Linked DNA regions of Drosophila melanogaster. The protein of the gene in region 3 interacts with the protein of the main gene of each other region in a pairwise test. Each region holds a gene or a part of one and is shown on either strand. Other genes may lie near its edges. The genes, in order: CG17855, phol and CG2712.

Region 1 (3,754 bases), on a different chromosome or scaffold from region 3:
CCAGATCGATGACGATCGTAACGAGCTCATCAACGATAACGATGATGAAGAGGAGGAGCGTTCCGCGTGTGCTTAGTGCTAGGCCATGTAGCTATAAGCTAGGATTTTCGATTTGTGGCAACATCAGCAATGTCTCCATTCCCGGCGGCAATCGCCTCATCGTACTTTGAGTGTATGTGGTTCATGCCCGTTTCCTGATGAAGTGACTCGTCCCTCAGCTGCTCATTGTACTTACGACCGAGTGTTCAAATCTACTAATAGAAGGCATCTGAAAATAGAAATCTTTTGATATATACAACATTCAACCAGAATTCGAATCCGAGTCAGATACGATTACGAATCCTTGCAGATAATATTTATGTAACCAGGCGATAGAATAGAAATCCTAGAAAGCAACTAGCATATTTTAAGGTAGGAGTAGATCGTTGTGATAGGAATATTTTGTATTGTATTTTAGTGGAGTGTAGATTAGATCCGTAAAAAGTCGATTAAGTGTTTGAAGTCTGCTGCATACGTTTCGCTTTATTTCGACTTTATGCAATCTCGGTTTCGAAGTTTAACGATTGACTGAGAATCAGTTGGCGAAAGAAAAGAGAAACGAATAGCGAATTACAATGTTTTAATAATCCGAACATTTAACCATTGTCAATGGAAATTGTGCTGTGAAACAATTTGTGAGTATAGAAAACAAAAATTAACGAAAACGTTGAATTAGAAAGAAAGTGAAAATACGCTGAATGTAATTCTTATGCAAATACATCATTTAGAGAATCTTTGTGGACAAAATAGCGATGGGTTCGAATGAAGAATAGGTCTGGAATAGTTTTATGAAAAATCCTAAATTCCCTGTTTTAATGGTAGCGAGAAAATCAAGTGTCTAGCCTAGATTTTAAAACCGAATGATGTACTTTAAATGCGATAATGCCTTAAAAATATCAATTAAATATACACGCGGATAATATCAGTATCTCAACTGAAATGGGAATTCAATCGATCCATCCGGTTGTTTTCCTACGCACTGCCCGAGTGCAAGACCCCCAGTAGTCCTAAGTGATGCAATCTAGGTTAATTAGTAGCAACTATTTCTATGTTTACACCAACCAGCCACATACAGTAGGAAAGGAGGCAGAGAGGAGCTCCTCGAGCACTAAATAGATACATCCATATAAGAAATATATGTATACAATTGTACGTTAATAAGTACCTACGCGTAGCTAATAATTCGTATCGGGATATGTGTTTGTACAACATAACTTATACATTATTGAAGAGCGATTTTAAAACGGACTACAGAAAGTGAGTCTTAGGTGCAAAAGATCATATATATATATATCATATATATGTTTACTCAAAAAGTGTGTTTTAAGGAATACATATTTTTACTTAGAGAAATATTGCAAATAAACTAATAAGGACATGTATGAAATGAAAACAATGAGACTCCTAAAATGAAAAACAAAATAAACCAAAACTGCATTAAACAAGTCAATTTGTTTTTTCTTAAAAGACATTATTTTTAACGAATTTTTTAGTTATTTGAAATTTTGGCACAGTGGCGCCCCTACAAGATGGTACTCGAATTAGGGAACTACATAAATGGTGTGACCATGATGTTTGCAAGTATCTTATATCCAAGACACAAACCTAACGTACTTTAAATATAGATAACATTTTTATTAAAAATTTTTTTATAAATTTGGTTCACCATATAATATTTAAATTAACATTGTTATTTAAGCAACAAGACGAGCAAGAAATAATTAATTTTTAACGAGCCTATCTTTTGATTAGCATTTCTGATGATTAATACAAAAAACTTTTTCCATCAATTTGGGTTCCACATAGGTAAAAAAAATAATAGTGTTAATTAAATTGTTAAGACTTAAAATTTGATCGATTCTATATGTTCGTAAGCAATCGAATAACTTAACAAAGTAACTCTGCCAGCGATATCCACGCAATTCAACTCGCTGATAGCTTATCTTTACTGTTTTCAGCAACAAAAGATTTTTCAGTAGCTGAGTAATTTTTACCACTACGAATTGAAGTAATACAAATCGAACAAATGGAGAAACGTGCTACATCTACCATGCAGGTTCTCTATGCAGAACTGGCTGCCGGTGCGTATGAGCAATGTCGTTGCGTATACGCCATGTATTGAAACTCCTTTGCAGCAAAGTCCAGAAGTGCGGAGCTGGAGGAGGAAAACATTTTGCTGCGCCATCGACTAAATCGCGCATCTGCCAGCCACAGCACCAATGCGGCCATAAATGTGGAGGCCAAGATCATGGTCTTCCAATTGGAGGAGGAACGAGATCGTCTGGTGGAAACACTGCAGAAGCACAAGAAGAAGTACAACAAACTGCATGACGCTTATCTGGAGAAAGTGAAACGTTGTCGTGCTTTGGAGGAGATGTTTAAACGGCAGAAGACGCTTACAGGCTTGGTAATGAAGTCCTCTTTAGATCAAAGAAATGCAGGTGTGTTAGGAAATGGAATTTTTGCTTAAAATTAGATCAATACTCTAAAAATCTACTAGAGCAACGAATGGCTATGGAGAAAAGGCAGTCGGCCCAAAGCGATGTCAACGAATTGAACGAGCTGAAGGCCAAAGTAGAAAAACTTCAAAGAGCCCTTGATGAGTCATACGACATTATTGACGAAATGGATTTTGAACTTGAGAGCGTAAGACGCTTTAGAACGTATTAGCAAGCTTAAGTAAAAATGATTCGTTTAAAGGTGGAATTACTGGAAATGCAAAACCAATCCTTGCGGGACGAATTAGCCGCTTTTAAGGCAAAATCAGAAGAAGGAGCGACCAGTCTGCCGGCCTCGCTACCCAACGATGACGACCCACCGCCCAAATATGAGGAAGACTATCCCGGACAGCATCATAAAGCTATGCAGGCCCGGCGCTGCTCCTCTAGCAGTGAATCTGACCCCAAGGATGATGATGCCGACGCAGAAACTATGGAAAGAGCTGCTTTAACCCATAGCGTAAGCTTTAATCCTAATTCTCATTAATTATATATGTCTGATTGTTCCTTGTATTCAGCTCATACAAACTGTGGAAACAGAGAGCAATGCCCTAAGACGGGAATTGTTGAGATCCCGCTGTCAAAGAACAATTCGCGCCAAGTTGGAGAAAGAAAGCGAGCCTGTTGATTAGGATAAGTGGCGGGATTAATCTTATCACATAGCTCCCAGCCAAAAACTAAACAACCAACCAATAGATCATAATAACAAGTAGCCATACTAAAGCTGATGAAACTGATCACTAAGTTTACGCACAGAGAGCAATAACTAGACGGCTGGACTAACCCAGATTCCGAACCAACTACGCCTAACCAGTGCACATACCAGAATTTGCTTTTAAGGTTCGACAAACACGCTCGGCGGCTGCGTTAAATCAAAACTTTTGCGATATAGTAACCCGGTTTCTTGGACTGCGCGCAGAGAAACCCCTCGTCTAATGGCGATTAATTAAATTATTTGCTAATGCCATCAAACGAGTTGCGGACAGATCACCTGCCAAAAGGATCTGGCCTCCGAGCTGTGAAGGTTCCAGCCCCCGACTTCTGCCCTCCCATCCCATTTCCAATTCGACGTGGTGCGCTATCCATTAAAACATGACAATTATTTTTATGACTTAATGCAGTCGGAGGCCTTGTTGCCCAATGCCTAATGTTGCAAATTATTGACAAAGTAAATTAATCTCCACATTTGTTGGTTGGACCAGACAAACTAGCGCGAC
Region 2 (3,754 bases), on a different chromosome or scaffold from region 3:
TTGGTTACAATTGTGGGTCGTTGGGGTCGGGCTGGATTGCTGGAAGCCACTAGTGGCGGTGGGGGATTTGGTGTCGCCACCTGAGCCGCCGCCGTGAGTTGCCTCTTTGTCACCTTTGACTGATTTCCCGCACTTTTCAGTCGCACATTGGTGCTGCTGTTCTGGAGCACTAGTTTTGGGAGAGCCGGCTGTGGATTCGGTACACATCCGTTGACCTTCGATAGCGCTACCGACACAGTGGCTGGACCTGGTCCCGGTGTCTGTATCAGCTCCACATTATTCGGCATGTTCTCGATAAGCTCGATGTTACCATAAGCTTCTTCCAACTGGTTTTCCGCATAGATCAACTGTTCACTTAGCGGCTGGCTGTCCTCCTCGCCTTTGACATCGCCCATAAATGCATTAACCACCTCCTCCACATCCGTGACCGCAGAGGCGCTGAATGGATCGGGTAGGATGACGTACTCGTTGCCGATGCCATCGCTTAAAACATCGTGGTTGATCATGTGCTCGTCAATAATAAGCTTTGGCATGCTGGGTGATCCTTCATTCTGGGCGGCGGAGGAGGACGTCACGGATGTGGTGCCAGCACAACCAGGTGGTTCCTCCAACTCCTCCTCCTCGTCCTCATCCTCCGAGTTGAGCGAGGACCAAAGGGTGACATTGAACTCATCCTGCGTTATGCGTATGGGTACCTTTGTTTGCTTCCAGCGCTTGGCCGCTGAATTTCCCATGGGCCTCTCGACGCGACTGCTTCCAAATAGCTTAAAATCCTGCAGCTGGCCATTCGAACTGTTTGAATCCTCGGTCGCCTTCATATAGAAGTCGCTCTCGAGCTGCTCCTCCTTGATGTTTGTGGCCTCGATGGTGGTTAGCATCTCGGAGGCAATCTCGAAGGCATTTGTCGTAGCCGGCGCGGTAGCCTCATCATCCTCATCGCCATCGCCATCGCAGGAGGATGTCATCTGCTGTCCATCCTCCTCGATGAATTCCTCATCGTCGCTGGTCTGCTGCATGATGATCGGCGGCGGCAGTGCATCTGCCGTAGCCACCGTGACCGAGGTAAGTCTGTCCAGCCGATCCACCGGATAGTATTCATAGTGCTCAAAGAATTCGCCTGAGTCTACGACGATATTAGCCTCATCATCATAGTCGTCGATGATCTCCTCGATCAGGAAGCTCTCGCTTTCCTCGCCCATCGGATCGCCCGCCAAAACGGTGTACGGATCTTGCTCGACTATGGTAGCCGCCGTAGGCTGGTGTGCATGAGTGAAGTATGCCGACGACGGGGCGGAGTGCAGGGGCAACGGTACCGCCGCAGCGGCCAGCGATAGATTCTTCACGATGGGCGCTCGTATCTGATGCAGTTGAGGCTGGAAGTTCCCTCCGACGCCGACGTGATGATGATGACTTGTCATCGCGGCTGCTCCGTCTGCCTGTCTGTGTGCCTGTATCTGTATGCTTGTATTTGTGGGCGCTCTTGCTTCGTGCGTGAGTGTTAGTGTTGTGTGTGCGAGCGCGCTGCGGAAAAAGTGGGCAATTAGTATCTGGCCAAAAATCCGTATTATGTATATATCTCTATATATTCGCCAGACTTCCAAAGTGGACAAACGTACGTGTTTTCGTCGGTATTGCTGCACTGAACTGGCCTTTCCCTCCACCTCTTTTTCCACTTTTTTGTGGCCAATGCCTATCGTTTATTGTGCGACGGCGGCGGCAGACGGCGAATGATGCGTACCGCTCGCTCCGCTCCGCCCGCCACTCTCCTGCTGCCCAATGGCGGGTTAATTCTCGCTTTGGATGACCACCTCGATCCCGCTCACCTCGGGCAGTGTAAATATTTTGAATTTTGCCGGTTAATATGGCGGAATTGTATTTTCCAGAAACGGCTCGGTACTTTCTCTCGCGTTGCGTGTGTGGGGTGTGTGTGTGTGTAGTGTGCAGCGACAGGCGCCACAATGCAACCCTGCGCGCGCTTTGTGTATATCTTAAGCGGTTTATTCAGCGGAGATTGGTTATTCTCTTCGCATTACTTCGCAAAACAGCACAAATGTAATCTTAACTACTATTCAAAAATTGCATTTTATTAACCTCCAACTGGCAAACCATTTATTAGCTGTAAATACCGCGGCGTTCTGTCTTTCGATAAGCGATAGGTTTGTTGTTCTGCCACCAGGGTTGCCACCCGACAAGAAAACAAATGCGCAATAACAATAAATTAATCTCCATGGCTTTACTATTATTTCGAGCTATTTACAATTGTTGCTCATAAATAACTAGTTAAATTTCTTTAGCAATAGAACTTCTGGAATATAAATACGCTTCAGCTTCGACTCCACAAAGCGCTCGTGTTGGGGTGTAAATACCTCTGCATTGTGGTTAAAATCAGTCTTATTAAATTGCACCGCCTTCCTATCCGCTGTTAAGGATATATTATAATGCCGACATTGGTCCTGCAATCCTGTTGGCCCATCGAACAACAGTAAACGCAACAAGTAAGGAACCGGCACCGTAAGCTGTTTGTTGTTGTAGGCATGCGTGAAAATCTGCAACAAACTCCTGCAAATATACATACATACATATGTATTTACATTAAAAATGCATCATGTCAATAAGAGATCCAATAGAAAAAGTTATACTGTACCTCCTTATCACCTGCAACTTGGCGGCAGCTACCGCGCACAGAATATGCGGCAATTGTGGCACACCCATGAGCACTCTATACAAATTGCCCTGTTGGAAGGCCAAACAGATCCCAAAACAAAGCTTAAACGTCGCATCCCGACGCACATAGTCCGGTAAGGTGAGGGCGCGTGTAAAGGACTCGGGAGAACCCAGATTAAACAATTGATACAGGCTCTCTATGAAGCAGCGCCGCTCAAGCTCACGAACGGTGGGTTCTCTAGATGATTCCAAGTCCTCCAGTTCTTCGTAACAGCAAAGCACTCCCGTGAGGCACTCTTGCAAATGCTGATTGCATATCTTGAGATCGAACTTCTCGATGGGCTCCTCACACAAGCGATAGCGACTATATGCCAGAAACATCACAATGGGCTCTAACAGGCAAATCTTCTGACTGGCATCGTACATCTGGATCACGATCTCCCGACGCACCGCCCTCAATCGATCGAATATGAAGTCGTAAGCCACATTGTACGGCTTTCGTGTGTCCAGGATTATGCTGCACAGTATATTAATTATCAGATTTAACTTGGCTAACTAAGCGCCTAATATACTTGCTCCTTGAGCAGATATTCCACTGTTTTGGTCAATGCCGCTTCTGTGCGCATTTCCTTGGGCATGGGCATCTTGACATCGGCGGCGGAGCGTGTAAACTCCTTGACCAGGACTCCTGGCTTGTTCTTCTGGCCATTTTTTAGCTCGAAATAGTGCAAAAGCTTCTCGCGAATACGCCTGAATGTATTAAACGGTGTTATTATATTAAATTCGGGTTTAAATTTCGTTTACCTACATTTTCGCCTCCCCATCGGGACAGAAACTTTCGCAAGATCCTCGAACTTGGGCCATTTGTTGATGAATGCAGCCAATTTCAGCAGCAAACAAACCAGGGATGCAGGTCTTTTGGATCAAAGGCGTAGCTCAAATTTTTTAATGGGGTTCAGAAAATAAAATATGCTTCTTAAATCTCGTACGCCAGCTTCTAACTAATAAAATTCCGAAATTGGGACTTTATTAGGATCCATATTTATAAAAACGAACGCGCTGACTCGTTTTTTTTTTTAACCCTCTTGCC
Region 3 (3,754 bases):
TATGAAACACGCATTATTTTGGGTGGGAAAACCAATCAAATTTATCCTAACAATAGGAACACACTTAAAACTTGTTATTGTGCGAAGGAAAGTACCGAAAATAAAAGCGAATTGAACTAAAACTAAATGTCCCGATTTGTACATTAAGCCGATAGTATAAGCGATCTAGCTTCAGGTCTCCACATTCTCGTCCTGCTCCTCCAGTTGGACACCCACTTCATGCTCGGCCCGCCTCCGCTGTCTGCCCGCCTTGTGCGACTGGCGATGGATGGCGAGTGAGATGCGGCGCTTGAAGGACTTGCCGCACTGCTCACAGCCGAACGGTCGCTCGCTGCTGTGGACGAGCATGTGGCGGTTGAGCTCGGATGTGCTGCCGAAGCTGCGCTTCTGGCACACCGGGCACGGGTGGGGCTTCTCCTGGCTGTGGCAGCGCTTGTGGGCAATCAGATTGCTCGAGTAGCGGAAGCGACGGCCGCAAATGTCGCAGCCGTGCGGCTTCTCGCCCGTGTGGGTGAGCATGTGCTTCTTGTAGCCCGACTTCTGTGTTAGCCTCTTGCCGCAGATGCTGCACTCGAATGGCTTGATTCCGCTGTGGATTAGAAGGTGTGTGCGCAGCGAGGACGCCTGCCGGTAGACCTTGAAGCAGGTGGGGCACCTGTTCGGATTGTTACGATCGTGCAGCGTGACATGGCCGTCGCGGGCGTTTCGCGTCTTAAAGGACTCTCCGCAGATTGTGCAAACGTAGGGCGTGGCCGTGCCATGTAGCTGCATATGGTACTTGAAGGAGTTGTTGGTGCTTAGTTGCTTGCCACAGATCTAAAGGAATGGAGGGAGAATTGATGACCTTCGGCTTTGAGTTATTTGCGAGCTGCGATGACCAACTTACTTTACACTGTAGGGAGGGATTGAGGGGTTTCCAAGGCCGGCTTCCACTGGGCAAAGTTTTCTGCGTCGCCGAAGTCTGTGCTGATTTCTCCACAATCTCGTAGACATCTTCGCCAGCTTTGGCCTGCAAAACGGGCTCCACTTGGAGGCACTCTTCAATGCAGTGGTCGTTGTCTTCTTGGCGAATTTTTGGCTGGCCATGTAGCCTCATGTGGTACTGAAAGGTCCGCTTCCTAGCCAGTTGTTTGCCGCAAATCTGCCGAAGATGGGAAACTATTTCGTGATTACTTACTTCTAATTCGGAAAGGCAACTCACGGGACATTGCAGCGCTGGCTCGGATCTTTCTAACCTGCTCCTACGTTGCTCCGGATCCGGATCGTCGACAATCTCGCAGAGATCGTCTTCGTGCTGTTCCAGTGCAATATCCAGCCTCTCCTCCTGTACAATTGGCGCTTCCAGCCGGCTCTCCGCCTCATCTGATTCTACGACCAGGAGTTGCTCCTCATCTCGTATCGTTTCTGCTGGATATTCAGTCACTTCCTGGTCATCGAGCACGAGTACAAAATCCTCCGGAATCTCGGTTGACAGCCTGGCCCTAGTATTCACCGCGCTGATCTTTTTGCTGCGGCAAAAGTCCGCATGACTCTGCCGCAGAATTCTGTCCATGCGATGGACACTCCGCTTGAATTCCAGCGAGAGCCGCAACTTGGCCACGCAGTCCGGGCAGATGTGGTGGGGCAGGAAGAGCTCCGCCTCTAGGATCTCCAGACCGCTGCAGTAGCTTAAAATGCTGGCCAGCGTCGCTGGTTTGCCGGAAATTGGATCGTCGAGCGGTTTGAAGAGCGGCAGGCAGCGCGGCGATGCTGTGTGGCACACGCGGCACAAGGCGTCCATGGGGGACGGCGGCGACATGGTCGTCATGGATTGAACTCGACAGTAGATAATACACGTTTAAATAAATAACTTAATTTAGCGTCCCGAACAGTGATGCCAAAGTCCAGCTGATGCGTTAGTGGTGGCACTCAAAATAGCTAGCCAGGCACATCAGCTTGGAAGTGACCAGAGGCACAGTGGCTTGGTGGTTGGTCAAAGGTTGTGTATTTCCATATTATTTAAAATATTTTAATTTAAAATTTTCTTAATACTGTGATTAGTCAGATTGCCGGAGGCAACATATGTACACACGCAGTTATCTGCAAAATCCCGCCAGATTTGGCTTGAAAATCGCCGATCTATACCTGCTGAGAGCCACGTGCTAAATGTACTAACGCCTGGTGCCGCCTGGCAGTGGACAGTATATAAAATCCCTAACGCCAACGCCGTGCCGGTGGGAAGTTGAAATTTTTGTTGGAATTTTTTATAAGTAAAAAGTCGCTGCCATCCGAGCAGGACTCGTGAACGGCTCTAGGACTCGATATCGGGAAGGAAGGGGGAAGCATGAGCATGAGCATGGCACCGGCCACCGTCCTCCAGTTGCTGCGCGGCCTTAGCACGCCGCGTCTTCTTACCCACATCCACCAGCACCGCGCATTGGGTAATCACTACCACCACTACCACCAACACTACCAGCACCAGCACCACCTCCTCCACCACCAGCAGCAGTACCTCCGACTATTCACTTGCACAGCACTGCCAGCGGCTGCTCCGGCGCTCTTCTCGATCCTGCACACAGCGCGTGGCTACAGCAGCACAACCAGTAAGTGATTCACGGTAGAGTCCTAAACAGTAGAGTCCTAAACATTCATCCTTGGCCACTTTCGTTTCGCAGAGCAGGAAGCTGGAGCCACTGGCCCCAATGATGCGCCCGAGGTCGCACCGAATGCCCCGCTGCTGGCCAAGCTCTTTCCTCAGACCTCGCCGGAGGTGGACAGCAACGCCGAGCAGGAGCGCAAGAAGCGCGAGGAGGAGGAGGAAAAGGAGAACGAGCGTGCCTGGAAGCGCATGAAGCTGGGGTAAGCTGACGCCCATTCAATGCGTAACAGTATTATAACAATACTTCCTGCTGCAGCTTTGCAATATTCGGAGGCAGCGCCGTGGCTGCTGGATTCTGGGCCGTCTACGAGTTCGGCAAGCCCGAGGTGGACCCCAACGGGCAGCCCATCGAGGACGAGTTCACACACAAGCCGCTGGTACAGCAGTATCTGCAGCGGATGTGGAAGAGCATTCACTACTATCAGCGCATGATCCAGGAGCCGTCGCGCGCCAAACTGCTGCCCGATCCGCTCAAGCCGCCGTACGTGCAGCCGCGCTACACGCTTGTGCTGGAGATGAAGGACGTGCTGGTGCATCCGGACTGGACTTACCAAACTGGCTGGCGCTTCAAGAAGCGTCCCGGCGTCGACCACTTTCTGGCCGAGTGCGCCAAGGACTTTGAAATTGTCGTCTTCACCGCCGAACAGGGCATGACCGTGTTCCCCATCCTGGATGCCCTCGATCCCAACGGCTACATTATGTACCGCCTGGTCAGGGATGCCACGCACTTTGTGGACGGCCATCATGTGAAGAACCTGGACAACCTTAATCGCGACCTCAAGAAGGCAAGTCATGCACAACGTATTTTCTATTGCAATCATCTATAAAGAAGGGAGTATTTTAGGTGATTGTTGTGGACTGGGATGCGAATGCCACCAAGATGCATCCGGACAACACATTCGGCTTGGCCCGCTGGCATGGCAACGACGATGATGGCCAACTGCTGGACCTTATCGCTTTCCTAAAGAGTAAGTTGCGCCACAAGTGACATTGAAAGCTAAACACTGACCCTTGCAATTCGCTACAGTAATTGCGCAGAACAACGTGGACGACGTGCGCGAGGTGCTCCACTACTATCGCCAGTTCGACGATCCCATCAACCAGTTCCGGGAGAAC

The links.
Region 1: the proteins of CG2712 (region 3) and CG17855 interact in a two-hybrid assay, tested with the Drosophila melanogaster proteins (one large-scale study listed by BioGRID).
Region 2: the proteins of CG2712 (region 3) and phol interact in a two-hybrid assay, tested with the Drosophila melanogaster proteins (one large-scale study listed by BioGRID).

Annotation. Positions count from the first base shown.
Region 1 is NT_033779.5:9,538,579-9,542,332, forward strand, and holds the start of CG17855 (uncharacterized protein), read left to right. Parts: upstream 1-1,944; 5' UTR 1,945-2,065; coding exon 2,066-2,120; intron 2,121-2,174; coding exon 2,175-2,480; intron 2,481-2,539; coding exon 2,540-2,685; intron 2,686-2,739; coding exon 2,740-2,997; intron 2,998-3,055; coding exon 3,056-3,169; 3' UTR 3,170-3,754. Other genes in the region: Oatp30B (organic anion transporting polypeptide 30B), read left to right, coding at 1-76.
Region 2 is NT_037436.4:9,454,122-9,457,875, forward strand, and holds the start of phol (pleiohomeotic like), read right to left. Parts: upstream 2,161-3,754; 5' UTR 1,617-2,160; intron 1,522-1,616; 5' UTR 1,419-1,521; coding exon 1-1,418. Other genes in the region: CG3437 (uncharacterized protein), read right to left, coding at 2,277-2,559, 2,645-3,181, 3,241-3,414, 3,473-3,528.
Region 3 is NC_004354.4:2,730,618-2,734,371, reverse strand, and holds the start of CG2712 (uncharacterized protein), read right to left. Parts: upstream 1,904-3,754; 5' UTR 1,808-1,903; coding exon 1,202-1,807; intron 1,142-1,201; coding exon 887-1,141; intron 817-886; coding exon 172-816; 3' UTR 1-171. Other genes in the region: ttm50 (tiny tim 50), read left to right, coding at 2,324-2,582, 2,655-2,838, 2,895-3,423, 3,483-3,606, 3,666-3,754.